Callithrix jacchus: one gene and its partners. The protein of the gene in region 4 purifies or fractionates together with the protein of the main gene of each other region. This does not show direct contact. Links are inferred from orthologs where the notes say so. Each region holds a gene or a part of one and is shown on either strand. Other genes may lie near its edges.

The links. The genes of interacting proteins can lie anywhere in the genome.
Region 1: the proteins of SNRNP70 (region 4) and ARGLU1 purify together in Homo sapiens (affinity purification with mass spectrometry; 3 studies listed by BioGRID and IntAct, with this or other methods). This does not show direct contact. The link is inferred for Callithrix jacchus from reciprocal best matches to the Homo sapiens genes SNRNP70 and ARGLU1.
Region 2: the proteins of SNRNP70 (region 4) and SNRPD1 purify together in Homo sapiens (affinity purification with mass spectrometry; 6 studies listed by BioGRID and IntAct, counting the BioPlex papers as one, with this or other methods). This does not show direct contact. The link is inferred for Callithrix jacchus from reciprocal best matches to the Homo sapiens genes SNRNP70 and SNRPD1.
Region 3: the proteins of SNRNP70 (region 4) and HNRNPR purify together in Homo sapiens (affinity purification with mass spectrometry; 3 studies listed by BioGRID and IntAct, with this or other methods). This does not show direct contact. The link is inferred for Callithrix jacchus from reciprocal best matches to the Homo sapiens genes SNRNP70 and HNRNPR.

The regions. Positions count from the first base shown.
Region 1 is NC_133502.1:22,211,195-22,218,870, forward strand, and holds part of ARGLU1 (arginine and glutamate-rich protein 1), read right to left. Parts: intron 3,861-7,676; coding exon 3,635-3,860; intron 1,819-3,634; coding exon of another isoform or gene 1,732-1,818; exon of another isoform or gene 1,586-1,731; intron 1,334-1,585; coding exon 1,250-1,333; intron 1-1,249. UniProt on the Homo sapiens protein: Dual function regulator of gene expression; regulator of transcription and modulator of alternative splicing. General coactivator of nuclear receptor-induced gene expression, including genes activated by the glucocorticoid receptor NR3C1.
Region 2 is NC_133514.1:64,591,516-64,599,191, reverse strand, and holds the end of SNRPD1 (small nuclear ribonucleoprotein Sm D1), read right to left. Parts: intron 6,871-7,676; coding exon 6,794-6,870; intron 5,757-6,793; coding exon 5,565-5,756; intron 3,794-5,564; coding exon 3,717-3,793; 3' UTR 2,240-3,716; downstream 1-2,239. UniProt on the Homo sapiens protein: Plays a role in pre-mRNA splicing as a core component of the spliceosomal U1, U2, U4 and U5 small nuclear ribonucleoproteins (snRNPs), the building blocks of the spliceosome.
Region 3 is NC_133508.1:60,065,989-60,073,664, reverse strand, and holds the end of HNRNPR (heterogeneous nuclear ribonucleoprotein R), read left to right. Parts: intron 1-2,219; coding exon 2,220-2,369; intron 2,370-4,865; coding exon 4,866-4,987; intron 4,988-5,115; coding exon 5,116-5,728; 3' UTR 5,729-6,394; downstream 6,395-7,676. UniProt on the Homo sapiens protein: Component of ribonucleosomes, which are complexes of at least 20 other different heterogeneous nuclear ribonucleoproteins (hnRNP). hnRNP play an important role in processing of precursor mRNA in the nucleus.
Region 4 is NC_133523.1:42,898,359-42,906,772, reverse strand, and holds the start of SNRNP70 (U1 small nuclear ribonucleoprotein 70 kDa), read right to left. Parts: upstream 5,642-8,414; 5' UTR 5,448-5,641; intron 4,666-5,447; 5' UTR 4,656-4,665; coding exon 4,509-4,655; intron 338-4,508; coding exon 275-337; intron 162-274; coding exon 107-161; intron 1-106. UniProt on the Homo sapiens protein: Component of the spliceosomal U1 snRNP, which is essential for recognition of the pre-mRNA 5' splice-site and the subsequent assembly of the spliceosome. SNRNP70 binds to the loop I region of U1-snRNA.

The DNA of each region.
Region 1 (7,676 bases), on a different chromosome or scaffold from region 4:
GCGTAATCTAAGGAGGCCAAGCCATCCCTAGCTACGCCAGGATCAGAAGGGATCGATCTTGGCAGGGCACACTAAGCTTCCAGGCCACCCACAAACTGAAGCCACCACAGCTATCCAATCTCTTTAACATGTCCTAAAAGGAGGTGTAGTTCTATCTGGTCAGTAATTTTGCTTCAATGTTTTAACTGTCACACTTTTTTCCTCTCTTCTGAAACATCCATGCCTCACAAACCAGAGTGTATTTATCCTTCAAAGCTCAACCTTCTAATCTCAAATTCAGACTCATACTTTTCCTCTTCTTCCTATCTGCACTGAGATTCTCTCCTTACACAGAATCACTAACAAAACAAAAAAGTTATCAGATCCTTATTCATAAGCATGTAGTAATATAACTTATAATGATCATCCATTTCACATTCCTATTGCTTTTGCTACCTTAGCAGATTTTAAGATTTTATTGGGAAAAGCAGATGATAGCTTTCCAATAGATTTCATTATGGCCTTCACAAATACCAGGTGATATTTACCAAGAATCCATTGTGCCATGCTCACTAAGTTATCTGGAATATTTCTAGCATTATCTGTTACCTGGAGTGCACTATCTTTCAGAATATGATACTCTAGAAACGACTGTCCCACATTAACTTTTTACATTCCTATTAAGATTTATGGTACCCCTTCATCACTACTCTCAATGGGGTCCACTGTTAACTAATTAGACCCTCTCAGATGTTTTTCTGTGCATTTATAACCGCAAAATTTCTTTATACCACGTAATTGGAGCTTACAACTTGCTTTTCCCCCATCTTTCTATATTACGTATTACCGAAGACTTTGTATTTCTTGATAGATTATAAACTAGGGATAGGAAATTATTCTGGTACACTTACTATCAAAAATATACTATCTACTCCTGATAACAAGCCAACGAATATAAAGAAAAATGCTACATATTATAGTTGATTTAAATACACCTCCAAGCTTTCGTTGTTGGTGCTATTAGTTTTTCTGGCATAGCAGAAATGTGAATGAGGTTAGGAAAGAAAAAACTGCGATAGAGAACAAAACAAATTGAGTAGTAAAAATCTACTCAATTATTCCTATCTTTGCCTCAAAAAGCCTTTAAAGTTAGTCCAGAGAATTGCCTCAAAATAAGTCAAATTACAGAGCACAAAAATCAATCCACAAAATCTGAAAAAAATTAATAAAGCAAAATACAAAACACTCTTCACATACACTTTATACTTACCAGTTTGGCTTGTGCTTCTGCAATTTTTCGGTTATTCTCTTCCAGTATTCGCTCTAGTTCCTCACGTTTTGCACGTTCTTCCTCCTAAAGGGGAGGATATGTTAAGATGTTAGAAAAACAAAATGTTTATTTTTACTGATAAATATTTACTAATCTTCCTCTGAACTTTTTTGATATGACTTACGGGGTAGCTTTATAGCTACCTTCTGTCTGATAAATGATAAACTGTGCAGCCACTAAAATTGGTTTCTAGCACTAAATTTAAATCATCCCTCCCAGTCCAAACAGCAACCAACTAAACCCTCCCTAATGATAGTTTCCTGGCAATTATTACTAATACTTTAATATCACACAAATCAACAAGGACAACTACAAAACTGGATAGTATTTACCAAATTAAAAAAATAATATATAAAATATAAATAAAGTGAATATTTGTCTCACCAATTATGTATACCTACGTATTCTTTACCTATACTCCTTTAATCAGCATTAAAAGTTGAATATTTACTGTCTTGTCCAGTGTCCTGCAGAGTGTGCTCCTCGGCTGCCATACACGCCAGCTTCCTCTTTAAAATGATTTGTACTGTTAGCTTGGCAATACCTGCATCAGCAGCTCAACCATTTATAAAGAAACAACATACAAGGAAGGCTGAGCTGAGGAATGCAGATGTTTATGGTAAGAAGGAACAAAAAATGTAATTCATCATTCCTAAGGCAAACAATTAATAAGAAAAATACATTTACTGTTAGTGAAAAATACAAATGGTAATCCATACTTCATGGAACTACGGGCTTCTTCCATGGGGAAAATGGACTTAACATTCAGATGTTGACAATTTCGGAAGGCAGCTTATATTGTCATCTACAATCTGAACTGAAACTCAGAAATCCAGGGGATGCATGGTCAGGAAATAAAATTCTTCAACTTATTTTTTCTTGGAGAATTTAATGAAATTTTATAATGCAAACTGTATGAAGACTGCTTGATGGTTTGGGCAGTGTTCAGATCACAGCATACATATTCAAATAATTTTAATATTTGGAAAGACTGTCAGAGGGTTGTGTCCGTGTAAAAAAAAATTGTTAATATGAAACAAAAAAGCAAATGAAGAGAAAAAAATCTTACTATGATTAATAACTCGCTACAAGACAGCACCATTACTCCAAAAAATCTTCATTAAAAGCACTGCTATAAATAAAAATTTCATAATTCAATTTTATAGTCTGTGAAACCCGCTATAAATATAAGCGTGTATATCTAGTTAAAGACAGGACAAGGGAAAATGAATTTTAAAAGCTAAGCTTATCAGAAAGCAAAGAGATTTAGTATTTCAATTGTCCATAATGCAAAGATGAAAAATGACAATGAGTCATCATTATTTTGTGTCAAATATTTCAACTTACATTGAAGAAAATACAACTACAGGATTTCCTATGTCACACACCAATGGGATTCATATTCATTATGCAACCATGGTGACAGACACTCAGGGGTGTAAAGTAATTTGCCTTGAGTGTTTCAATGACTTTCACCAAGTTTTTGGATCCTGGAGTAATCAGTGCAAGCAAGCTATAAAGCTTCAGTAGCAAATTACTGTCTCACAGAAAGACATTTTCAACTTCTGCTCCAGCTGCTGATAAAAACAAATCATGTGTTTAGCTTGACTCCAGACAAGGACAACCTGTTCCTTCATAACTCTCTAGAGAAAAAAAGGAGTTGTTAGTAGATACTAAAAAAAGTGGATGAATAATCTGGATATTTTTCCTAAAAAGATTCCTTGAAACACATTAGGAAAATGGAGGGCCTTATGATCAGAATGCTAGAATTAGTCCATTGTGCTGAAGCAGGATTTGGGGTGGGGAGTGAGGGATAAAAGAAGGAAAAAAACAAGAGTGAGAAAACCTATTTATCAAAGCAGGTGCTATCACTCAATGTTAGGCCCTGCTCTTTTTAATCTGACTGAAGGCAAAAGCCTCTCACAGTCTAGGTAACAGAGTGATAGAGAATAGAATATACAACCAACCACAGGTGGATTTTTAACCTTTTTCCTTTACCACTCCCTGTCTCCCCACCGTCCTCCCAAGAAAGAATGTAAGTCCTGCAGCCATGGCAAAAGTTTCAAACACTTCTTAAATAGACAGCCAGTTCCATTAAATCAAAAAGTATCCTTGAATATGTTTTATAAAAGCTTCCAACTTTTAAGTTATCAGTCAGCACTTCTGAATAGGCTAAAAAATTAACTTTCGCAGCAATGTAAGTTTAGACGAGAAAGGAATTAGATAGTCTGTATTCCATCTCTTTCTGAACTGAGCAGGAGGCAGAACCCAACACTGAAAGTTTTGCCATGGACTGTCTCTACTTTCCAAACGACCGAGCGTTACCTCTCTAGCTTTTTGTGCTGCAAGCTCAGCTTGTCTCTGTCGCTCGAGTTCTTCGAGCAACTGCTTTTCCATGATGCGCTTGGCTTCCTCCACCCTTCGGAGAACTTCTCGTTCAATTTCATCCTTCCTTTTCTCCAGTTCTTCCTCCACCCTTTTCGCCACCAATTCTTCCACTCTTCGTGCTGTTTCTTCCTCGATGAGTTTTTCTTCTATTTCCTGCTGTCGACTAGCAAACAAAGAGAAAAAAATGAGTTGGACGTTTATTTTTAAAACTATGTTTAAACAAAACTAGTTTTAAGTCTATCAGGCCTTTGAGCTTGATATTATTCAGTGATTTTTAGAATTCATTTTCATGTCGCATTTAAGAAAACGGCAGATACCAAGATGTTAACTGATAAAGAAATTCAAATGAATAAAAATCTTTTTTTCTTTATCATATTCTGAATACAGGAAGTCAGGTATATACAAAGAACCTAATTCATTAGTTCTAATTTAGAAATGATTAATCTGAAACAGAAAATCTACTTCTGCTATCGACTTTATAATCAGAGGACACGCTGTTAAAATACATGGATTTGTTCGTTTGCTAATCCTTTCGGTCTGGGGTTGAGCTAAGGAGATGTAAGGAGAAATTATGTAGCAAGCAACTCAGACTGGCTAAATTCACTTCCCACTAAGCAAAAAGAGAATAAACAGATTGAAGAGATTCAGACTTCTGGAGCAATAGTGCATAGTTTTTACTGAAAATATGACCAACTTAAGTTTTGAACTGATATAAGAGCTTCATAGTTCCTCACTGTCTTTTCTTCCTTTTGTTAATTTTCAATTAAAACCTCCTCTAGAAGTGGGAAAGTGGGTAAAAAAATACTTTTATTACCAGAAAAAGTTCAATAAAGCATGCTACTACAGTCTGAATTACTCCAATCGCATTTTGATATTATAAACCTATTTACTCAAAATAAAATTTTGTGCTGAAATTATAGACATTTATCAAGGCACCACTGTGGAAATCCTGCACATTTTATACCAATGACATTCAGTGACAGCCACTAATCATATGTGTCTGTCTGAATTGAAAATTAATATAAAGAAAAGGAATATAAATGATGATCTCCTATTTTTATTTGATTGTGTGTTAAAAATATTTTGGATAAACTATATACTAAAATTAATTTAACTGGTTTCTAACATGACTACTTCTATATTGCATATATTGTTCATATTACTTCTACTAAATAGCACTCTGAGACAATAATTTGTGCAGAATGAATAAAGTCTGAGGCTCTTCCAGTATATCTAAATCCTAAGAGGCCAACTCATGTTCCAACTTCTCAAAACCCTGAAAATTAAAGAAAATCTGCAAGCTTTATCTTTTGATGACTCATTTGACATACATATGAGAGTCATTCAATTGATATGTTTAGTAAAGACTTTACAGTTTCCAAGAAACCTTTAAACACCCCAGTCCACTTCAACTCAACTCTATTCTTGGGGATGATTCAATTCTCACCCAAGGGTTCTCAAACTCCTGTTACTTATTCACAGTGATAACACACTAACACCAATGTGTCTTAAACAATCTGATATATTTCAGTTTCTACACTCTTCTGTCAAGGAGACAGTAGGTACTTGAGAAAGCCTATTTTCCTTTAAGAGCCTAGATGTTTGCAATACTCATTTCTCAGGAATCTGTTGTTTGTTTCTTAAATATTTCCCTTTCCCCTTCTAAAACTAAGTTTTTAAAAAAAGATATGAAAGCCTAAGCTATGCCCCTTTTCCTTAACTTCCAATTAAATACAGTACAAGAGTGGTTTCAATAAGCCTTTATCTACAGCAGCTCAGTATGAGAGCAGGTATCTTCCCCACTACTATAAAAAAAAAAAAAAAATCACATCACCAAGAACATATAAAAGAAAATCAGACAACAATTTCAACAGAAATTAAACTACATTTCAATATAAAATGTTGTCTCTCTACTTCATCCAAAGGGAAGGAGAACTAATAAATAAATGAAAGCAGGCTGACTAATATTGAATCTGGATAATGGATATACAAGAATGATGATAAAAATAATAATCTATCTTTGTGTATATGTAAATTTTTCATAATAGTTTGAAATGTATATACATACTCATTCTTGCTAGTTGGTTCTTCTGAAATTAGTAAATGTAGAAAAGCCTAAGAAGAAAATTAGTATTTAAAATTTCAAAACCACTACTGTACAATGTGACTTTTAATTAGCAATGCTAAGTGGATTACAGTACTATTAAAAAAAAAAAAAGATAATGTAACACAGTTCCAATTAAAACTCCACACAAAGCCAAAAGAAGGCCCTAGGAGTAGAAAGTTGCCAACTTAAGTTAGGAATCTGGTGAAGGTAGAAGAGACCTGATACTCAGGGTTATTTTTCTGACAGCTAAGCCCATCCCTAGGCAAAAGCACAATGGCTACAGTGCCTCATCCACAGGAGATAATGGGCCAAACAAATTTATTTACAGCAAAAGTCAAATCAGAATGGTGTCAGCTCCCTGCTTCTATTTCCACCAATTACACCAAATCAGAGGGCCCAGATAACAGGCAATACAGGCAGGCTGTGGGTTGCTCTGCTGTTAAGGAGTCAATTTTAACTATAGCTCAGCCACTTTATAGCCCAAAGGGTGGGCAAGTGGAAAGTCCCATGCGCAACTGAAACACTGGAGAATGAAAAATGACCTAGTGCGGTTTCGCACAAGGCTGCTTATCTCCCTTCGTTCCTGGAGGAACTGCAAGGCATCCCATCCATGCAACAGGCAGGTTTCAGGGTACCAGAGCAAAACTGTTTGCCTACAAGTGTTAGCACGAATATAATGTTTGCTGTTTTTCTTGGTAAATTTAAAAATGCTACTTCAGTAATCAGAAAAAATTTAAATCACATTTTAGAACCAGTGCTGAAGGACAATTTTATCCCCTCATCAAACACTTAATTCAGCAAACCAACGAGCACATATACAACTGAATTAAGCATGTATTCATCTTTACTGATGGCAAATTCATCATCATAATCAATGATAAAACCACTATTACACCTACTCCCATAAGAGGCACTGGAATGTTCTTGAGTGGGTCATTAGTGTCTTGCAAAATAGGTGTCATCTCATATCTAACAGTCTATTCACTCCTTAAAATCCTTGCTATAGTAGTTGTCACCCTCATGTTCTTTTCTCTAATCTTTTCCTCATGCTCCTCTGCTGAATATCCATTCCCCTGTCAGTAATACGTGATACTGATGAAAAGCGTTAAACCAAGATCTTCAAGGTTTTAAGTGGAAATGGTCCATTAATACTAGGTCCCATTTTCTTCACGCTCTCAGGTATTTTAAAAACAATACTTACAATGAACTTTAAAACAGAAACTATTAAAAACAAAACAGCAAGATTCCAGCACTCCAGCACTTAACAGAGTATTACTCCATACAGAGTAACTAACACCATTATTTAAAAACATCTTTAAAATGTGGGAACTCAATACTAAGGGCTTACTTCTAGGAATCGCATAATTATTAGCAAACAGTATTTATTTGTGTAGGTAACAAATAATATTGAGCCGAAAGCTTTATATATCATGTCATCATTTAAATCACATAATTATTTCTATGCAGTGGGTATGTACATCATCTTTCCTGAGGAAACTAAAAACAAGGAGCTTAAGTTTCTGGACTCAAGCACACTGGATGTTGCTGAGCTGTTTCTCTGAACCTAGGTAGATGACAAAGCTAATGATCTCAAGCAAGCACTATAATACCACCCTACACTGGTTTCTGCAGGACAAATCGAAGAGGCAAAGAGAAGCGCACAGAATTAACCAACAAAATAACAACAACAACAACAAAAGTAGAATAATAATTTAAAAAAAAAAGTATAGGCTGGGTACGGTGGCTCACACCTGTAATCCCAGCACTTTAAAAGGCTGAGGTAGAAGGATTACTTGAGGTCAGTTCAAGATTAGCCTGGGAAACACAGTGAGACTCTGTCTCTACAAAAAATAATAAATACATAAATTACAT
Region 2 (7,676 bases), on a different chromosome or scaffold from region 4:
ACATGGTGAAACCGCATCTCTACTGAAAATACAAAAATTAGCTGGGCTTGGTGGCACGCGCCTGTAGTCCCAGCTACTCGGGAGGCTGAGGCAGAAGAATTACTTGAACCCAGAAGGCGGAGGTTGCAGTGAGCCAAGATTACACCACTGCACTCCAGCCTGGCTGGCGCCTGGTGACGGAATGAGACTGTCTCAACAAAAAAACATGTTAAACTTTAGTCTGTTTTCTATTCATACTACAATTCTTTCTTTATAGCAAATGATGGTAATTAGTTCAAATAGCTTTTTCTTCACACAATTTTAGCCCTTTCACATGAAAATGAAATAATGACCTCTAGTGGAACAAACTCAATCTAGTATCCACTGTGGTCTATTATTACATTTAAACTGTTATTAGACTGGCTTCACACTGCAAACATCCTAGACATGAAAACTCTCAAAACAATTTTTTCTTTTTTTTGAGACAGTCTCACTGTCACTCAGGCTGGAGTGCAGTGGTATGATCTCGGCTCACTGCAACCTCTTCCTCCAGGGTTCAAACGAGTCTCCTGCCACAGCCTCCCGAGTAACTGGGAGTACAGACACCGACCACACCACCTAGCTAACTTTTCTATTTTCAATAGAGACGGGGTTTCACCGTGTTAACCCAGGCTGGTCTCAAACTGCTGACCTTGAGAGATTTGCCAACCTTGGCCTCCCTAAGTGTTCGAGTTACAGGCGTGAGCTGCCACACCAGGCCAAAAACATAATTTTAGATCTCTTATGTTATGCGGGCTATTTTCAAAATTTTTAAATTTAAGAGTCAAGTCTCACTAGATTACCCAGGGCTGGAGGGCTGTAAGTTGCAATCATAGCATGCTATGGCGTCAAACTCCCGGGTTCTAGCAATTCTCTTGCCTTAGCATCCCCAGTAGCAAGGACTACAGGTGTGCACCATGGTATCCAGCTCCAATTTTTATGTGGTACCTGCTTTCCTTTTAGTCTGTAAGTTCCATGAGGACAGAGCCAACTATGTTGATTTCCTACTCTTGCAGGGTTTTTCTGTTTGACCCCTTCAAATCTCCTCTCCACCTGCTGCATTACAGGAGTCTCTCCCCTTTTGTCTTCTGCTTGGATACAACCAATAGGAGCACCAATAGATCAGAAGATGGAAAAGAATGAAATCCAGATATTTATTCCCCAGCTCAATTAATGAAGGCAAAAAATTACATATTGGTTGTATCTTGTCATGCCGACCCACCTTTAATATACTATTAAAGAATTGTCTTAATCATCATTAATTTCATACATCCCCTTTTGGATCATAGAACCTGTAATAAAACTGGATGACCACTGCCGATAATTTGTGGGGGAGAAAAAGCTAATTACTACATAACTTCAATGACTTATGAAAAAACAGAACATCAACTGTGGAAAAATAAAAAAGTATTTACTTGATGAGGTAAGATACTTAAAATAGATATATTAGCTAATATGTATTTATACTAATATATAAATTTATATATCTTATGACAGGTACATTCCACATTTATATTAATATCTATTAGTATAAATATATATACAATTTTTTGAGATGGAAACTCCCTCGGTCGCCCAGGCTGGAGTACAGTGGCGCAATCTCAGCTCACTGCAACTTCCACCTCCCATGTTCAAATGATTCTCCTGCCTCAGCCTCCCAAACAGCTGGGATTACAGGTGCCAGCACCATGTCCAGCTAATTTTTTTTTATTTTTTAGTAGAGATGAGATTTCACCATGTTGGCGAAGCTGGTCTCGAACTCCTGACCTCAAGTGATTCCCCAACCCTGGCCTCCCAAAGTGCTGGGATTATAGATTTGAGCCACTGCACACAGCCGATAATGTTTTTAAAGTATCTTACCTCATCAAGTAAATTCAAATTTATTATATACTATATTTATATAATATACATTTATATGCACGTTTTATAGTGACTTCTTTATTTTTGCCGGGGAGGGGGCATCCAGCAGCACCCACCGAGTCCCTGCAAGCTATAGTGACTTCTTTAAAACATACACATCCCCACTCTTGCTCTCAATTTATATAAACCTCTTATAGGACTTAAACTTTTTTTAGGTAACAATCTTTGCAGAAAATTTCCCTATTTAACAATTCACATGCATGAAGAAAATACAGATTTAAGTCACCCACATCCTCAGTTTTTTTCCTTAGCATATAAATATTTGGTAGTAATCTTTACAAAAAACTGATACAGAGAGGCATTTTTCTGAGCTTAACCAATTAGAACCATTTTTTAAAAATCTTTATTAACAATTAGAACAGTTTTGCAGTCAAATGAAGTAGCTCTTTTCTCTTTTATTCTCAAAGAACCCCTTAAAGGATGCACTGACGTACATTCCACATTAACCTGTTTTAACACTGCTCACAACTGATAATCTAGTGAACATTTAACTCCAAGTTTCAACTTGGAGAACATTAAAACTATACCCTATTGAGAACTGATTAAAAAGCAAAAGAAACAAAAATCAGCAGCTAGAAAACAAAAGCAATGACCCTTAATATAGAAGACAACTTTTTACCAAGTACCTTAGACTCTGTGGAGTAAAACTCAGGAACAGCGAAATTTTTTTTTTTTTTTTTTTTTTGAGACAGAGTTTCGCTCGTTACCCAGTCTGGAGTGCAATGGCAGGATCTCAGCTCACTGCAACCTCCACCTCCTGGGTTCAGGCAATTCTCCTGCCTCAGCCTCCTGAGTAGCTGGGATTACAGGCACGTGCCACTATGCCCAGATAGTTTTTTGTTATTTTTAGTAGAGACGGGGTTTCACCATGTTGACCAGGATGGTCTCGATCTCTTGACCCCGTGATCCACCCACCTCGGCCTCCCAAAGTGCTGGGATTACAGGCTTGAGCCACCGCGCCCGGCCCCCCAGGAATTGAGAATTTTAGACCCCATCCCACAAGGACTTTAGTTTCTGAAATACCAAAAAGAACTTACTTCCCCTTGTAGGTGGGTGCCACAGAATGATGTCAGAGTAAAGCAATAAAATGCACATTCAGTGCATGTGAAGTAAAAGGGTATATATTCTATATAAGTTTAGCCTAAAGTTGTCTCTTTACATATCTTAAGTTTAGCCTAAAGGTTTCTCAGTACAAAGTGAACTGCAGCCTAACTGGTTATGTAAACAGATGGTACCCTACTCTTGGGCCAATTACTAAGTTTCAGCCAATCAAAGGCTGCGAACTGTTCAACCTATATTCAAATAAGGCAAACGCTGAACTGTAACTAATCCAGCTGTTGCTGTATCTCACTTCCATTTTCCATACATCTCTTTCCTTCTTCTGTCCATAAATCCTCATCAACTATGCAGCTGGGCTGAAGCCTCTGAACCGATTCTGGTTCAGGGGCTGATTTATGAATTGTTCTTTGCTCAATTAAACTGTCAAATTTAATTTGTCTGAGGCTTTTCTTTTAACCTTATTTTTATTATCATAAAAATAAAAATTTTAGTTCAAAACTTAAAGCCTGATCATCTAAAAATGAAACTGCCCAGTAGAAATGCTTAGCTTTCACTGTGGTATTCTTATGAATGTGGAGGAAACTACTAAAACTCTGATATACTCAATAGACCACTCTGTCCCACATTTATGTTTATTAAAAACTGACATAAACAAACACAACCTGTACAAAAAATATCCCAGATCCCATATGACTTTGAAACAGTAATCATGAGAAACATTATCGCCTAGGACCCCCTCTTCCTCTGCCACGGCCACGTCCTCTTCCTCTGCCTCGGCCTCGGCCTCTTCCTGCAACTGAGGGAAAAGAAAAACAAAGCAAATTCAATTCTCTTCTGCATGAATGTTACCTAGCCACCACAAACAGCGTTTACACACAGACACCTTTCCCCGTTTATAGCTCTTTATTAGCAGTTACAGTAAAGTTAAGTTTAACTAGCTTCTCTTAAATGTGTTAAGACTTCAGATTTCCCGCCACCCCCTCAACACATTATCATGCAGAACCAAGAACTAAAGGCCTAGGAAGATTATTATTTGTTTCAATTTATTTACTAAGAAATTTGTCAAATTTTAAATATGTTTTCTTTATATCATGTCTCAAATTCACCATAAAATGATTTGAACCTCACAAAAAATGGAAGAGATATATCAATAGAACATGAATAACCTGATGCCAGAGTCTGGTAACTGAATAAAATCCAAGCAAGTTAATTCAAATCCAGGAAAGTTTATAACTATGATATCAATCACAATCTTATTAACTCTTCAGAAAATTAAAATTCATTTGACCCAAACATAATCTAGTGCTTTAACCCATATAGCAATATCCCTGTCACTTGGTCATCCTAACTCAAGTTGAGTATCATGATGACAGAGAACTCATCACCCAAATAAACATTTCATCTTCAGACAGCTATAAATATTAGAAAATCCTGATACAGTCACATTCTAAATTTTCTTTTGGATATAGGGTCTCACTCTGCAGTCCAGCCTTTACAGACCCACCACCATGCCCGGCTCTTTTTTGTGTGTTTTTAGTAGAGATGGAGTTTCACTATGTTGGCCGGGCTGGTCTCAAACTCTGACCTCAGGCGATCCACCCATCTGGGCTTCCCAAAGTACTGGAAGCCACCATGCCTGGCTTCTTTTTCTTTTTAAAGAAAGAAAATAGGTAAGGCTTGGTGGTTCACGCCTGTAATCCTAGCACTTTGGGAGGCCAAGGTGGGTAGATCACGGGGTCAAGAGATCAAGACCATCCTGGCAAACATGGTGAAACTCTGCCTCTACTAAAAATACAAAAATTAGCTGGGTGTGGTGGCAAGAGCCTGTAGTCCCAACTACTTGGGAGGCTGAGGAAGAATATTAGCTTGGATCTGGGAGGTGGACGTTGAAGTGAGCCAAGACCATACCATTACACTCCAGCCTGGGTGACAAGAGCGAGACTCCATCTCAAAAAAAGAAAACAAAGTTCTTTTAGTAGAGATGGGGTTTTTCCATATTGGTCAGGCTGGTCTGTTAAAGAGTCTCCATGCTGATCAGACTGGGAGTTCATCCTGCCCTCAGGTGATCCGCCCACCTCAGCCTCCCAAAGTGCTGGGATTATAGGTATGAGCCACTGCATCCAGCCTAAAAACAAATTTAATTTAATTTATTTATTTTTGAGACAGGATCTCACTCTGTGTTGCCCAGGCTGGAATGCAGTGGTGGCATCTTGGCTCACTGCAACCTCCACCTCCTGGGTTCAAGCAATTCTCCCACCTCACCCTCTCAAATAGCTGCAATTACAGACATGAGAAGCCCCTATACCAAGACATTAAGAAATTTCAGAATACTAGGAATAAAGAGTCCATCTCCAAATCTTCCAAAGTGGGGGCAGGGGACAGAAAATGATAAATCCTTTGAACAGGAAATACATCAATGTTTTTAACAGCAACTCCAGGAGTTATAATACATACTATAGGAAATATTAAGCAACAAAGACACTTGTGTTGTTTACAAATATTTATATTATGAGTAGTGTAGATTAGGATTGGCATTCAAAAAAATGTTTATATTCCTTCAAACTTACCTGCTTCCCTTTTCTTAGATTTCACCTTAGGTTCAACATCCACAAGTAGTGTATCCAGAGGTAAACTGTCTGGTAGAATAAAGTATCGAATGTTATTTCCTCGAATACTCAGCGTTTCCAGCTGTACAGGTTCTCTGTTCTTCAGGGTCATTTTCACAGCTTTAAGATGTGTATTCATGCTGACATCCACACCTCAAGAGGAAAAGAATTGGGCAGTTATTAGTATGATACAAGGAAGGCAACTAATTAATCTACCAAGCCACAGTAAATACTGGACTACAAAAGAATACTGTTCTGCTACAGTGTAAGTTTTCTGTGACACAATTTAGCACGTGCGACTGGTAAATGGGGGAATAATGTTAGTATAAATCAGCAGTGTTTCCTTCCTAGAGATTTTTCCTAGCACACTAATGTTTTGCTTACAGAAGTGAATGCAGCAAGCCATGGAAGAACCCTGACTGGGCTTTAGGAGCTACCAATTTGACAGGTGTTTCTTACTTGTTTCTCCCAGTCATTGTAACTTCCTCATAAGCCCCATTCTACCAAACTATCCTCACCTTTGTTTCTGCTTCTATGTATACAAATAAAAAATTGTTACTGCTTTTATTAAGAATACTTTGATTATAAAGCTGCACGGGCTCTTAAGTAGTCTGCCACAATCTGTTTTTCTCATTAAGCTATTATTCTAAGATTTTACAAAATACAAAGCAAGATTTTTCAGGGTGAAAATATGACATTATAGCTGACACCTAATACTGAAGCCTTTCTCAAATCATATCTGAACAAATGGGATAACTAAATACCTACTTATGGGATAACTAAATACCTACTTAGGCCAAGTGCAGTGGCTCATGCCTGTGGATCATCTGAAGTCTACTGACCAGCCTGGCCCAATTCAAGACCAGCTTGGCCGACACGGTGAAACTTTGTCTCTACTAAAAACACAAAAATTAGCCAGACATGTGGCAGGTACCTGTGATGCCAGATATTTGAAGGCTGAGTCAGGAGAATCGCGTGAACCCAGGAGGTGGAGGTTGTAGTGCGCCAAGATCACACCACTGCACTCCAGCCTGGGTGATAGAGCGAAACTTTGTCTCCAAAAATCAATTAAATAATTTAGACAAAATAAGGATTTGTACTACAATAATGTTCATTAAGCAATCCAAAAAAGAAGCTAGCAGGTGGAAGAGAAGAAAAAAAATGTTATAAAAGCAGTCCAACCTCCATACCTGTGATTGTTCCATGGACCTGTGTTCCATTCTTCAATTCAATGGTTACAGTTTCATGACTCAATTTCATCAAAAATCTATAAATAGGAATAAAACCATTAATTTTTACCTGCAACACTTTAAATCACATTTATTAAGTTGAAAGGGTGAAACATCTAGATGTTGAAAATCTGCTAGATGCTACCTGTATCAATTCCTATCAATAATATGCATAACAATTTCAGCTTTTCCTGAATTATGTCCTCAACCTTTATGAAGGAGCATAACAATACTAACAAGCTGTCATTTGGATGTTTCTAATTTTCAAACCTCAAATCCAGACATACAAGACCTTAGACTGATTATAAATCATGAAAAAGAAATAAAGAATTACAGTTGGTAAGAAGATTTACAAGCATGGGCCGGGCACGGTGGCTCACACCTGTAATCCCAGCACTTTGGGAGGCCGAGGTGGGTTGATTATGAGGTGAAGAGATCGAGACCATCCTGGCCAACATGCTAAAACCCCGCCTCTACTAAAAATACAAAATTTAGCTGGGTATGGTGGCATGCACCTGTAGTCCCAGCTACTTGGGAAGCTAAGGCAGGAGAATTGCTTGAACCCAGGAGGTGGAGGTTACGAGCCGAGGTCGCACCACTGCACTCCAGCCTGGTGACAGAGCGAGACTCCATTTCAAAAAAAAAGATTACAAACTTATACACCTATATGTAAAGTAAAAATCTCTCTTCCTAACCCCTGCACTGTGGGTATGTTGGAATATTATTCCAGATCATTTTATATGCATTCATAAGTATATACACAAATTTATTTTTACATAAATTGGGTTACATTTTACTCAGTTCTATAATTTGTAGTTCTCATTTAACAGTTTATATTGGACAT
Region 3 (7,676 bases), on a different chromosome or scaffold from region 4:
GAGCTGGGATTACAGGTGTGAGCCACTGTTCCCAGCCCCTTTATTGTTTTCTAGTTGAAAAGTTTATCCATTTGAGTAAAGCTTCCGTTATTCACACTATCAAAATATTCAGTGAATTCACTGAAGATTTTTTTGCCAAGTTGGATCAGTTTACAATAGATCAGAACCTAAAAGCCTAAATTATGTCTCTTAAAGGGACCCTTTTTCCTGTTGAACATTTTAAACACAGTTTCACTAAGTAATTTTCATATAGTATGTTATGGTTTAATCGTAGAAAAGTTCATGTTGAATTTTTTTAAAAAAGCAACTAAGTCAGTGGGAGTCTGTGTAACATAGAGGCTGGACCTCAGTGTGACAGATTGAGAATAAAGGGAATGGAGCATTTGTGAAAAATGTTAGTTTTTTTTCTTCCTTAAATTAATGTCTTCTTATTGGATAGCCCTTTTAAGCAACAATTTGTTCAGTATGTTAGTTTTTTAATTTGGATAGGTGCTACATTTTCTTAGTTCAAGTTATATAGAAAGTCTAGACAAATTTCCTTTCTACCCTGTGCCTATGTCTACCAAATTCCTTTTTCCCCTGCAAGGCATCCAGTTTTAGTAGTTTTTGGTTTATCTTTTTAATATTTCCTTAGGCAAGTACAAATATATATTCTTATTTCCTTAATTCTTAAATGAGTGGTAGTAATGTTGGTAGCCTATCATGTTCACTGACCTACATTTGCTTTATTCACCATCCTGTTTCATCAGCTCTAAGGAAATGTACCATTATTATATGTACCACTAAGAAATGATAAAACACTGCTAACTAAACTATTGCACAATGCTTGCTTATCACATTGACTAAGTTGTTTCTCTATTTCAGAGATGGAAAAGCAGTGTATCCTGTCAATCTCTTATAGCTCATAGAGCTCTCTTTCATTTTTTATGACTACATAGTAGTCTATTCTGTGGATGTACTATAGTGTATTTAACCAGCTGGATATTTAATTGTTTCTGATCTTTTGCTCTTACAATGCTGTAATGAATAAGCTTGTATCAATTGATAGAAGTTGAGATATATCTGTAGGAGAGGTTCTTAGGGGTAGAATCGTAGGCCAAAGGGTAAATACATCTGTAATTGTTAGGATACTGCCATATACCCTTTGTAGGACATACACTGTTTTACATTTCTACCAGGAAAATACAAGAGAACAGTTTTCGTCATTCTTGACAAAACAGTGTATGATCAAACTTTTGAACTTTGCCAGTCTGTTAACAAATGGTGTGTCAGTGTCATTAATGATTTGCTTCTCTTACTATGCATGGTTTGAACTTTAAATATATTTTAAGAGCCATATACATTTCTTGGTGTGAACCATGTATTCATGAATTTTGCCTATTTTTCTATTCAGTTGTTGAGCTTTTTATTATTTTCTGGTGCTCTGATATAAAAGAGAGATTAGCTGTTCATGATACATGTTGCAAATATTTCTTCCATATTTATTGTCTTTGCCTGTGGTATTTTTTGCCATATGGAAGTCATTTATTTTTAGTAGTTGAGTATATCACTCTTATGTATCCTGGATTTTAAGTCATATGGTCATCTCCACTCCAGTGATATATAAAGAAATCATCCTTATTCTGATACTTTCTTAGTCCTCCCTCCACCCGTTTATCATTTAAATTTTCAATCTGTTGGGAGTTTATGCTGGTTTATAGTGTGAAGTGTGGACCATCTTTTATCTTTTTTTTTTCTGATTAACAGTACCTGATTTAGTGATTTAAGGATTATGTTTGTTTATATTCAGTAGGGCCAGTCTCTAAATTTTACTTTTTTTTCCCCCTGGTTATTCTTGCTTATTTATTTTTTCATATGAACTTTTAAAAGTTACTTGGTTTTAGAGGGAAGAAAGAAAAGCTTATTTTGAAGTGGACTTGGGGACCATGTCAAATTTGTTAATTAACTTGAAATAATAATTATATGTTGGTTTCTTGAAGGTTCTACTCAGTGTTAGGTGCTTTAATGACAACATAGGAGAAGGCAGTAACCAATAGTTTTTATAAATTGATGACTGCTATTAGTATAATTTTCCTAGCAGTTTCTTATACTACCTGTAACAGCACTTTTAGCACTTAATGTTTTAGAGGGGAAAAGCCTATGCTTTGAAGACAGGAAGAAACACTTTTCAGGTAGAATTAAGTAGCCAATTACAGTTCCGTTTATTTGTTGCTTACTAGGTAAAAGTTTTGTTTGTGAGAAATTTGGCTACTACAGTCACAGAAGAAATATTGGAAAAGTCATTTTCTGAATTTGGAAAACTTGAAAGAGTGAAGAAGTTGAAAGATTATGCATTTGTTCATTTTGAAGACAGAGGAGCAGCCGTTAAGGTAGAAATTTTGGAATTTTGGTTCTTGATATTTGAATTTTGTTTTCAAAAGTTGCTAAACACATAAAATAACTTTAAAAACAAATAAAATTGGTTGTTAGCTTTTGCTGAACTCTGGAACTTTCTATTTAATCTCTAAAGTGGTAGTATTATGACAGATAAGACTTCATATTTCAAAGCCAGATTATTACTGAGTTGGTGATTTTAGGCAAGCTATTTTTAATCTCTGTATTGTTTTGTAAGATTTGATAGCATGATGCCTTGGAAGTATTACAAGGCATAAAAATTAGCTGCTGTAAACACTAAATAGGTAGTGAATGTATTATAACTACTTAGTTTACCTCAGTTTGTGTACCTATGAAGGAAACTGAATGGTGCACATAACTCTCACAGTATACAGTGTTTGATTGGGTAGATACATTGTGATGGTATGATTAGTTTTACTTTAATTATTTTAGAGTTAAAATAACATTGGCTATGTTTTACTGATTTCAGTAATTGTTAGAGTTAGCTCTTGTGTATAATAGTCTTTGATGACAATGAAGTGTGAAAAATGTATTTTCATATACTATCTGGAACACAAAACCTGCTCTGCTTTCTATTGACAATGGACCATATTTTTTTTTTTTTTTTTTTTTTTTTTTGTGGAGTCTTGCTCTATCACCCAGGCTGGAGTGCAATGGCATGATCTTGGCTCACTGCAACCTCTGCCTACCGGGTTCAAGTGATTCTCCTGCTTTAGCCTTCTGAGTAGCTGGAATTACAGGCACATGCCACCATGCCCAGCTAATTTTTGGATTTTTAGTAGAGACAGGGTTTCACTGTGTTGGTCAGGCTGGTCTTGAACTCCTGACCTCATGATCTGCCCACCTAAGCCTCCCAAAATGCTGGGATTACAGGCTTGAGCCACTGTGCTCCGCAGTTTAGATCCATCTTTAATGGGTGAAAATTTCAGTTTCTTTTTCTTGTTCATCTGTCCTTCCTTGAAGGGATGGGAAGGAAGACAAAACATTACTAAGATCTTTTTTATGTTATTAGGAAGATAGATCCAGAATGCTCAGTGACACAGGCTTGGTTCTTTCTCTGCATATTTGGTCGACAGGGTACTGCACCTCTAATTTGGGCATTTTTTTTGTTTTGTTTTTTGCCCAGGCTACTGCATTTTAAACAGGCTTTATAGAATCTCTGACTAGTTTAGAATTAATTGGCTTGCTCATTTATGGTAGCTAATTAATGAATGGTATTGTTAATAAAATTCATAACTTGTCCAAGATCATAAACTCAGTAATAACCTGGCTTTGAAATATGGAGTCTTACCTGTTATACTGTTACACTCTTAACTGTTAATGTGTGGCTTCTGAAATTTCCACTGGTATAGAATGCAGATGACTGATAATTTATGCTTTCCAAATATTCCTCCTGTCTCGATTGTTTTAGGATGGTTTGCCAAAGAAGCCTATGAAATTACAAAATATCTAGTCCAGGAACTGGGAAGTCACTAGGATGGTCAGGGCAGACAATAGATGTTTCATTTTTTGATTTATGCCAGGAAGCTTTTGTAAAGTTGTTGAGTTGCTTTAACGGAAGAAATGTAAAGCTGAGGTGGTAAAAGGGAAAATTGAAGTCTTCAGTTTTTTTTCTAGATACTTATAAATCACTGATAGTTCTTTATAAATAGAACATTTTTAGTATGTGCGCCCAGAGTGGGGAAAGGTAGAGGGAAACAAAAAATAAATTACGAGGAGGTGACATTTTCTTACTATCTGAACCTTTTGATGAATGGCAGAGGTTGTTAGGTGGAACAGCATGAACAAAGGGCAAGAACGTGGAATGTTTGATTACTGCTTTCTGCGTAATTGCTTGAGTCTTCATTACTTCATTAGTCCAGGCCTTTTCTGGCTCTCTACTTTTAACTGTTCAGGCAGAGTACATTTTGGGTTAAGCATTGTAGGGGAACTTGGGCTTTTTGTGTTGGTATCTCGTTGAATTTTAAAGATAATCTCACTCAGTAACCTCATTTGTGCTTCAGATCCTTGAAATTTTTATATAAGAACAGTGTAAGACCTGTATGTTGAATGCCACACGTTTATTTTTAAATTAATCCTGAAAAGTTAATCTTTGTCTGGTTTGCATTAATACTGGCGTTTTTCCCTGGTATGGATTTGCTTCTTTCTTTAGTATGGCTTATCTTTTAAGGAGTTGGTTATTTGGAATTAAGGAGAAACAATAGATGGCAACTATTTTACCTTTTAAAATATAATATCAGGAGGTTGGTTTTGTTCTTGATGTAATTTACATATAAAAAGATTAGGTCAAGGGAAACGTTTTTTCTGTGTGTGTGTGCGCGTGTGCGCGTTTACCTTTCTGGCTAGATTTACCTTTTGCCATTTAAAATAATTGTGAAGTAAATTGTTTATTAAGTATATTAATGACATGTGTATGTTATGTTTTATTATAAAACATTGTAAAGTAAATTAATTTTTCTAATTTTATATAGGCAATGGATGAAATGAATGGCAAAGAAATAGAAGGGGAAGAAATTGAAATAGTCTTAGCCAAGCCACCAGACAAGAAAAGGAAAGAGCGTCAAGCTGCTAGACAGGCCTCCAGAAGCACTGCGTGAGTCTACATTTTAGTATTTATCTCTTTGGATAAGGAATAACAATAATGGAGATCAGATTAATAAAATCAGGGGTCTTGAAGCAAACTAATTTGTTTTTTCTTCTCTCCCTTCCCTCCTTTGCTAGGTATGAAGATTATTACTACCACCCTCCTCCTCGAATGCCACCTCCAATTAGAGGTCGGGGTCGTGGTGGGGGGAGAGGTGGATATGGCTACCCTCCAGATTACTATGGCTATGAAGATTACTATGATGATTACTATGGTTATGATTATCACGACTATCGTGGAGGCTATGAAGATCCCTACTACGGCTATGATGATGGCTATGCAGTAAGAGGAAGAGGAGGAGGAAGGGGAGGGCGAGGTGCTCCACCACCACCAAGGGGGAGGGGAGCACCACCTCCAAGAGGTAGAGCTGGCTATTCACAGAGGGGGGCACCTTTGGGACCACCAAGAGGCTCTAGGGGTGGCAGAGGGGGTCCTGCACAACAGCAGAGAGGCCGTGGTTCCCGTGGATCTCGGGGCAATCGTGGGGGCAATGTAGGAGGCAAGAGAAAGGCAGATGGGTACAACCAGCCTGATTCCAAGCGTCGTCAGACCAACAACCAACAGAACTGGGGTTCCCAACCCATCGCTCAGCAGCCGCTTCAGCAAGGTGGTGACTATTCTGGTAACTATGGTTACAATAATGACAACCAGGAATTTTATCAGGATACTTATGGGCAACAGTGGAAGTAGACAAGTAAGGGCTTGAAAATGATACTGGCAAGATACGATTGGCTCTAGATCTACATTCTTCAAAAAAAAAATGGCTTAACTGTTTCATCTTTAAGTAGCAATTTGCTGCCATTTGTATTGGGCTGAAGAAATCACTATTGTGTATATACTCAAGTCTTTTTATTTTTCCTCTTTTCATAAATGCTCTTGGACATTATTGGGCTTGCAGAGTTCCCTTATTCTGGGGATTACAATGCTTTTATCGTTTCAGGCTTCATTTTAGCTTCAAAACAAGCTGGGCACACTGTTAAATCATGATTTTGCAGAACCTTTGGTTTTGGACAGTTTCATTTTTTTGGATTTGGAATAGATTACATAGGAGTATGGAGTATGCTGTAAATAAAAATACAAGCTAGTGCTTTGTCTTAGTAGTTTTAAGAGATTAAAGCAAACAAATTTAAGTTTTCTTGTATTGAAAATAACCTATGATTGTATGTTTTGCATTCCTAGAAGTAGGTCAACTGTGTTTTTAAATTGTTATAACTTCACACCTTTTTGAAATCTGCCCTACAAAATTTGTTTGGCTTAAACGTCAAAAGCCGTGACAATTTGTTCTTTGATGTGATTGTATTTCCAATTTCTTGTTCATGTAAGATTTCAATAAAACTAAAAAATCTATTCAAAACATTACCTATTTCAAATTCAATTGTGTCCTAAAACATCATTTTATTCGTAATCCTTGCAAGGAATATTGTTTTCAAAGTATAACTGCCTATGTGAGTGATCAAATTCATGCAAAATTTCTTGTCTATTCCAACATGTATGGTGGATATTAGACTGAGGGTTAGTCTAAATTCAAGTATTATTCCAATTAGCACTTCATTAATTGGTGTTCTCTCATAGTCTCTTCTAATTTTGAAATTTTATCCTTTATTTAAAAGAAAAAAACAGGTTCAAAGACTTTTGAGCATTCTTTGCAGGCATTGGATAATTTGCGTTAAAACAAAATGTGGCTGGGAAAGCAGACTGCAAATTTATTTTGACCCACATTCTTTATAAGGGTTAATTTGTGGCTGAAGACCTTATTTGCAGAATAAGTGAATGTACATACAGGGAAAACTGTTAGTACTGTGGCGTCAGTTGCACTGCAGGCTTTAGTTTTAGTAAACATGATAGTGACTTCCATTTTAGTTAATGAATATAATTTCCTATTGCTATGTAAATTTGCTTTGAGAAACATTTATGCCTTGTAAGAGAGGCTTAAAAATATCCAGTAGTAATACCCCTGACTTTCTGTTAACACCTCGTTTATTTTTAGTTATCTGCTATCCCTGATGCCTGAATTTTTTGTTGGCCAATACATAACATCTGTTTCTCTATTCCTTTAGAAATTCTGATTTATTTTAATGACTTTTTTGCTTGAGAATGAGAGGAACAAAAGAATCTAAGCTTTACGGTACAGCAGAGTCTGAATCCCTTTCAAATTACTATTAAATTTTCCCTTCCATCTTATTCTTACGTGGTTCTCAAATGTTTTTATAGTGATAAAAACATCAGAAGCCATTGGGGAATAATTAAAATGGATACACCATTATTTTGTGTTTTGTTACTGTTTGGTGTCTTTGTGATAAGAATATTAGATTTCAAAATCATAAGCCACTTAATTCCATGTAATCTTGGTTAGATCATATTTTGGGTTTCATGGCTTCTTTTCATTTCAAATAAGAAAATTAATATTTACTGAGGAAAGTCAATATATTTCATTTCTTTTTTTAAGTACCCTTATTACACAGTACAGTCGTTTAACAGGCCATTGATATTTTAGTTTTTTGGAAACTGATAAAGAAATTATGGTCTGTTGTATGATAGTTTTGAGTTAACCATGGGTATTTCTTTGGTAAAACAGAACCAGTTGTTTTTCTTATGCCCATGTATGCAAGTAAAGACACCAAACATTCTTTAAATGCTG
Region 4 (8,414 bases):
ATAAAAGAACAATCCTGCTCCCCCAAAAACAGGCCTTTGGGAGACAGCAGGATACTGAGTGACCTGGAAAGAACACAGCGGGGAGAACAGTGGATGAGAGACTTACACATTTTGAGCTCTGTCTCCACTTCCTGCTGTCGCCGCTCAATCTTCTCCCGTCTCTGTCATGAGAAAGGGGAGGTGGATAAGTAAACGCAGATAGAAGTACCCTGGTGTCAAGGACCATGTGGAGAAAACAGCGAAAGGTGGGGGTCTGGAAACAAAAATGACATACTTTCCTCTCCATGCGTTCCTCTCGGGTTTCTGCACGAGTTGGAGGAGGGGCATCTCGAGGGTCCTAGGAACAAGAAGAGAGGTGACAGGGTGGGAAGGACTAGGGGAAACGGAAAGGGACGCTCACCAAGGAAATAAGCATGTCACCCCTCCCACCCCCACTACAAAAACACACACACATGTACACTTCCCCAGTCACTGTGGAGGGAGAGGAGTGGCACAGATCAAAGCATGGTCTGCAGCCACACACAGTGGCTTCCACTTGTAATCTCATCACTTTGGGGGGGATGACACAGGAAGAATGCTTGAGCCCAGGGGTTTCAGACCAGCCTGGGAAACACAGTGAAACACCATCTCTACTAAAAATTTACAAATAAGCCAGGTGTGGGGGCACACGTCTATAGTCCCAGCTACTAGGGTGGCTAAGGAGGAGGATCTCTTGGGCACTGGAGAGCGAGGCGGCCATGAACAATGACTGTGACAGTGCACTCCAGCCTGGATGACAGAATAAGACCCTATCTTAGAAAAGAAGCACAGTCCATGGACCAGCACTATCCAAACCTGCTGGACTGTGAGAAGTACAGAAACCAGGAGTAAGTGCTAAGAAACTTCTACAGTAATTTCACAGTTTTACGCTCACTGACTAATACAAATTTGGTCTTTTATTCTGCAGGTCTTCTATTTTATTTTATTTATTTATTTTTTTTGAGACCGAGTTTCGCTCCTGTTACCCAGGCTGGAGTACAATGGCGCGATCTCGGCTCACCGCAACCTCCGCCTCCTGGGTTCAGGCAATTCTCCTGCCTCAGCCTCCTGAGTAGCTGGGATTACAGGCACACGCCACCATGCCCAGCTAATTTTTTGTATTTTTAGTAGAGATGGCGTTTCACCATGTTGACCAGAATGGTCTCAATCTCTCGACCTCGTGATCCACCCGCCTCGGCCTCCCAAAGTGCTGGGATTACAGCCTTGAGCCACCGCGCCCCGCCAGGTCTTCTATTTTTTGATGCAAAGTCTTGCTATGTGACCCAGGGTGGAGTACAATGGCGCGACCTCGGCTCACTGCAACCTCCACCTCCCAGGTTCAAGCGATTCTACGTCCTGCTTTCCCCTCTGTGCTGTCTCTACAAGGAACCCACTAGCAATCGTGTGTTTCTAAAAGGAACCCAGGAACTGACTAGAATCGTTCAAGTGATTCTCCTGCCTCAGCCTCCTGAGTACCTGGGATTACAGGTAAACGACACTATGCTGGCTAATTTTTGTACTTTTAGTAGAGAGGAGGTTTCACCATATTGGCCAGGTTGGTCTAGAACTTCTGACTGTAAGTCTTTCTTTAAAAAGTAATTCTAGGCCGGGCGCAGTGGCTCACGCCTATAATCCCAGCACTTTGGGAAGCCAAGGCAGGTCATGAGGTCAAGAGATGGAGAACATCCTGGTCAACAAGGTGAAACACCGTCTCTACTAAAAATACAAAAATTAGTTGGGCATGGTGGTGCACGCCTGTAGTCCCAGTTACTCGGGAGGCTGAGGCAGGAGAATTGCTTGAACCCAGGAGGCGGAGGTTGCGGTGAGCCGAGATCGTGCCATTGCACTCCAGCCTGGGTAACAAGAGCGAAACTCCGTCGCAAAAAAAAAAAAAAGTAATTCTATCCTATTTATCAAAAGCATCAATCTGCAACAGATTGGAAACTGCCCTTCACCAATGACAGTTTGAAAAGCACTGGCACAGGTGACACCTAGCTTAAAAATACAGTGCTGAAGGTCCCTGTCTTCCATATTCAGGAAACACGCTGCTTCTCACAGCTCCAAGCATCACTCACATTGAACAAAGTGCCAGAAGATGTGATGGGAGCGGAGTTACGGGAGGGCCCTGTTTATGAGAGTCAGTTAAGAGGACCAGGCCTGAAGCAACATGAGCTGACAGGACAGGACTCCGAAGCCCACACTGCACACCCTCTGAGTGCCAGGGCAGCACTTAAAGGTGTCACCAACCATGCATTAAATAGTAACTGGTTGCTGGACGTGGTGGCTCACGCCTGTAATCCCAGCAGTTTGGAAGGTCAAGGCTGGTGGATCACTGGAGGTCAGGGGTTCGAAACCAGCCTGGCCAACATGGCGAACCCCTATCTCTACTAACAATACAAAATTGGCCAGGCATGGTGGCACATGCCTGTAATCCCAGCTACTGGAAAGGCTGAGGCAGAACTGCTTGAACTGAAGGCTGCAGTGAGCTGAAATCACACCACTGCACTCCAGCCTGCGCAACAAAAGTGAAACTCAGTCTCATAAATAGTAACTGGCACATCATCATCAGAGGGCATCTACCACCTGCCTGTGCCCATTAAATTAAGTTAATTGGCTAGTAACATTTCTTAAGTGCTGGTTCATCCAGGGTGGCAAATCCCAATGAAGATCCACCTTCCTATTATCTGTGAACTTGTTTTTTTTTTTTGAGATGGAGTCTCACTCTGTCGACCAGGCTGGACTGCAATAGTGTGATCTCGGCTCACTGCAACCTTCACCTTCCAAGTTCAAGCGATTCTCTTGCCTCAGCCTCCCAAGTAGCTGGGACTGCGGACACGTGCCACCACGCCCAGGTAGTTTTGGTATTTTTAGTAGAAACAGAGTTTCACTACATTGGCCAGGCTGGTCTCCAACTCCTGACTTCGTGATCTGCCTGCCTCAGCCTCCCAAAGTGCTGAGATTACAAGTGTGAGCCACCACGCCCGTCCTATCTAAGAAGTTCTGCTCTGCAACTCCCTCCACCTCCAGCTGCCCATTCCTACCCAATGCGAGAATGTTCTTGTAACTTCTGGCTGTGTGCCAGCTTTCCTCAGGTGTCCTCAGATACGCCTACAAGATGACCATTGTCATCCCAATTTCACAAATAAAAACAGAGAGGTCCAGGAGCCTAAGTCATTCATTCCTGAAGTCATTTACCCTGAAGGTGCAGAACTAAGATCCTGGTCTGGGGTTTTAAGCCCTCCAACGCTCGGTGCTAGCCCTTTATGAACACCATCTTATTAACAATAAAAGTAGTAAACAGAGTAGCAAAGGCCGACATAGGCTGCCTGCTTGATGCCAAGCCCCCTGACATACACATTGCCATTTAATTCTCCACCAACAGTATGAGGGGTGCTACCACTATCCCCTTGCTAAAGATAAAGAAACCAATGCATTAAGATACACATTTGCCCAAACTCACAGAGCTATTAAATGGTGCAAGCCAAGTGTGAATCCTCAACCACTACTCAACTGAACTTTCTCACAGAAATTCTACAAAAGGTATACCATCAACCCCACTTTTTTTTTGAAATGGGAGCCTCACTCTGTTGCCCAGGCTGGAGTACAGTGGGACAATCTCGACTCACTGCAATGACTGCCTCCCGGGTTCAAGTGATTCTTCTGCCTCGGCCTCCCAAGTAGTTGGGACTAGCAAGCACCATCACGCCCGGTTAAGTTTTGTATTTTTAGTTGAGATGGGATTTCACCATATTGACCAGGCTAGTCTTGAACTTCTGACCTCAGGTGATCCACCTGCCTCAGCCTTCCAAAGTGCTGGGATTACAGGTGTGAGCCACTGAGCCCAGCCTCACTTTGTCTGTTTGTTCGGAGACAGTACTTTCTATTGCCCAGGTTGGAGTGCAACGGTTCCATCTGGGCTCACTGCAACCTCTGCCCTTCGGGTTCAAGTGATTCTCCTGCCTCAGTCTCCCGAGTAGCTGGGATTACAGGTACCCACCACCATGCCCAGCTAATTTTCCTATTTTTAGTAGAGACAGGATTTCATCATGTTGGCCAGGTTGGTCTTGAACTCCTGACCTCAGGTGATCCACCCGCCTCAGCCTCCCAAAGTACTGGAAATTACAAGCATAAGCTACCGCACCTGGCCACAAGTCCACTTTAAAAAAAAAAAAAAAAAAATTTTTTTTAAGAGATGAGGTCCTGTTCTGTCACCGAGGCCGGAGTATAGTGGCGCAATCACAAAGCAATCCAGCCTCCAACTCCTGGGCTCAAGCAATCCTCCCACCTCAGCCTCCTGAGTAGCTGGAACTACAGGTGCACTCGACCACACCTGGCTCCAACCCCATTTAAAACAGGGAAACTGAGGATCACAAAGATGAAGCCAGTCGCTTAAATCACACAGCTAGCAAATCCAGTCAGAGGCTGGACTCCCAGATCCAATCCTTGCACCCCACAACCCAAACCATTCCTGGCCTGCTCAGTGAACTCACCTCAAACTCTCGAATGTACGGCGCAATGCCACAGTAAGGTTGATTGTGGTGTTTTTCATGTGGCAGTTTCTCCAGGGGTGGCAGGTATGGGATAGGGTCACGGGGGGCAAAAAGGGCCAGAAGGTTGGGCGGCAGGAACTGGGTCATCTTGCCAAGTCTGAGAGCAGAAGCAGGACAGCCTTAGGTTAGATTGGGTCTGCACAGAGAAAGCCCCTATTTGTCCCCTGACTCTCAAAAAAAAAAAAAAAAAGAAAAAGAGAGAAAACAGGAGTAAAGTCTCGGAATTCGAAGAGGCTCTGAAAGGGCAGAGAACCGTCCTACGCTAGAAGAGAAAAGGGCATCTCTTGGTGGGGGTGGAGGTGAAAATCAGGCCCGTAAAGGAAACAAAAAACAAAGGCTGGAAAAGGGTTCCTGAGCAGTGAGGTCTCAGAGTCCTGACCCACGAGCTGTGTGGCGGAGAGCTTCCCTGGGGATTTCTGGGGGAATCAAGGACCCGAGAAAGGAGGCACAGAGCAGTTGTGGCTGGCTGCTCGTCTCGTATCTTGGAGGACAAATTATGAGATGCGGTTTGCAGAGGCCTGGAGGTCTGAAGTCTCCGGGCAAAGAGAAACATAAGCAGCGAAGCCCCAAAGCCAAGCGCCTGTGGGTAACAGACCTGGGCGCCCCCAAGACGAAAGGAATTATGGGTAAAGGTCCAGGACAACATGGAAAGACGAAAAAGAAAAAAGGCCATACACCGCAAGGGCCTGTGGGTAGGGGACCTAGGACGCTACGGGAAGCAGGCGTGGGTGCGCAGAGGGCTCGGGTTTCGGGAAAGGGATGCAGAAGGGACCTGCAGCAGGGGACGCGGCAAAGGGGCCTGGCTGCAGGTAAAAGTACCGGGGCCCACCGCAGGGGCTTGTGGGTAGCGGCCCAGCACCCCGGACCACTCGGCCACACTCACTCGCCGCGCGGCGCCCTCCTGGGTCTGGCGTCGGTCCGGAGGCTCGGGGCGGCTGCGGCGGCCCCTCAGCAACAAGAACTTCCGCTTTGGCTTCCACTCCGACGGCGTCCGCGTCTGCCTGACTCCCTTGCCCGCGCAGCGAGCGCACAAGGCCGCTGCTCAACAACCCGCGCGGCCTCAGCTACCGACTGGAGCAGGGGGTGGGTCTCGACCTGAAATCCCTCCGCCGTCAGCACTGCGCATGCGCCGCGAGAGGCCAAGACCTACCCACACACCAGGCCCAGGAGCCGTCGCTGGCAAAGCGCACGCGCGAGGTCACTACCCCGCCTTCGGGCACCTTGAGTACCTCAGTCTCCTGGAGCTGGCGTCTGCGCTGCGCGCGCGCGCTCAGCCCCAAGCCGCCCCTCCACCTGCCGCTTTCCGCTCCGAACCGCCTATGTCCACGAGACTCTCTCTGACGCTCCGCCCCTTTCCCGATCACACTTCCCTGATTTTTTTCGCGCATGCGTGTTGTGTAGAGTACTGTAACGTACCTCTCCGCCGCCTAGCAAAGAGTCCCTAAGTGAATAGCCTGATTGCGTTGATGTCTAATCTATTCAATCAACTGCTCATCGAGCATCTCGTATGTGCTAGGCACTGTCTGGGCTTTGGGGGCTACAGCACGTGACTAAAGCAAAGTCTTCTCCTGCTTGGGCTTACATTGTACTGAGGGAGACAATAAAAGCGCTTGACTGAATAAAGATAGTTTAAGGGCTGGGCCCGGTGGCTCACTCCTGTAATCCCATCACTTGGGAGGCCGAGGCAGGCGGATCACCCGAGATCAATTGTTCGAGACCAGCATGGCCAACATGGTGAAACCCCGTCTCTACAAAAAAATACAAAAATTGGCCGGGCATGGTGGTGTGAGCCTGTAACCTCAGCTACTCTGGAGGCTGAGGCAGAAGAATCGCTTGAACCCAGGAGCCAGAGGTTGCCCTGAGCAGAGATCACCGCCATTGCACTCCAGCCTGGGTGACAAGAGCGACACTCTATCTTAAAATAATAATAATAATTTGAGATGGTGACCAGCATAATAAAGAAGGACAGAGCAGAGTAAAGGGATGGGAAGTGAGAGTGAGGCCATTTTATAAAGGGTGATAACGGAAGGCTCCTCTGAAGTGTCATTTGAACAAAGGCCAGATAGAAGCAAGATCGGGGGACGGGGAGGGTTAACAGCAGGCGCAAAGGTCCTGAACTGGGACCAGATGGCAGGAATCTCAGGTTGTTGGCCGTGAGATCAGAGAGCTGGCATTTATTTTATTTAAGGCCCTGTTGTTAAGTATTGCATTTTAAGTTTTGTGGATGGATTCAATAGCCTGTTTAATAACTATAGAAATTATTGCAAAATTCAAATGACTAATTTTCAAGAAAAAGGCCAGCAACTCAGGAGGCTGAGGCAGGAGAATCGCTTTAACCTAGGAGGCAGAGATTGCAGTGAGCTGAGATCGTGCCATTTCACTCCAGTCTGGGCAACAAATTGAGACTCACTTTCCAAAAAAAAAAAAAAAAAAAAAATGCCAAGTGCATTGGCTCATGCCTGTAATCCTAACACTTTGAGAGGCTGAGGTGGGTGGATCATGAGGTAAGGAGTTCAAGACCAGGCTGACCAACATGGTGAAACCCTGTCTCTACTAAAAAATACAAAAATTAGCTGGGCATGGTGGCTCCTACCTGTAATCCCAGCTACTTGGGAGGCTGAGGTAGGAGAATTGCTTGAACCAGGACCCAGGAGACGGAGGTTGCAGTGAGTTAAGATCACACCACTGCACTCCAGCCTGGGCTACAGAGTGAGACTCTATCTCAAAACAAATGCTCTTTCTTCTCTTCCACGTTGCCAGTTTGTGATTTTTCCAAACTTTTCTGCTGTGCTGCTTCCTATTTATGTATGTATTTATTTTCCAGAGACAGGGTTTCACTGTGTCACCCAGGCTGGTGTGCAGTGGCTATTCGCTGTGTCACCCAGGCGGTGTACAGTGGCTATTCACTGCCATGATCCCACTCACGTCGATCAGGAGTTTTGACCCGCTCCATTTCCAGCCTTAGGCTAGTTCACCCCTTGCCAGGCAACCTGGTAGTCTCCCGCTCCTGGGAGGTTACCATATGGAAGCCAAACTTAGTACGGACACCCAGTTGCTGGGGGGGACGGCAATGGAAGGAGGGCTCACAGAGTGCCTCTGTAAAATAGCTGCAAACGGTGGGAACAGTAAAAAGCAGCAAACTGCCCGGCCTCTGGGGAGGCAGACGTCCCCAAGCCTTCTTGTTCCACGTGCAGAGTGACCTTGACTCTGTAACAGTACATAACACGCTCAAGGGCTTTAAACCCTTTTGCAGCATTACAAAGTAACCAGACTTGTAGGCCCACCAGCTACGTTGTCTATTGGTAAGCATACGTTTTTAGCGCTTGAGAAACTCACATGAACTGCCACTGTTAACAGTTATGTGTTTCATGCACAGCCTCCCTCCACCGACTCACCCTGCCGCCTGCACTACAGATAATAGCGATCGTGTTCAGTATATACTGGGCCTTCACTGCCTCCAGTAAAGAAGTGATCATCCCCTGGTCCTGCTTTCTCTCCTAATCTATCTTTTTCTAATTCCTTTGTCACCACTGAACTCAGGGTACCCATGGATGGGTGTGGGGCTGGCTCCCTACACCAGTCAGCATAATACAGTACAGCCCAGAACTCCTGTGCTCAAACAATCCTCCCACCTCAGCCTCCAAGTAGCTAGGACTGCAGGCACATGCCACATGCCACAGAGCCTGACCACTTTCCCCCCTTTTTATTTTATTTTATTTTTTGTCTTGAGACAGTCTTGCTTTGTCACCCAGGCTGGAGTGCAGTGGTGTGATCTCGACTCACTGTAACCTACACCTCCTGGGTTCAAGCAATTCTTCTGCCTCAGCCTCCCATGTAGCTGGGACT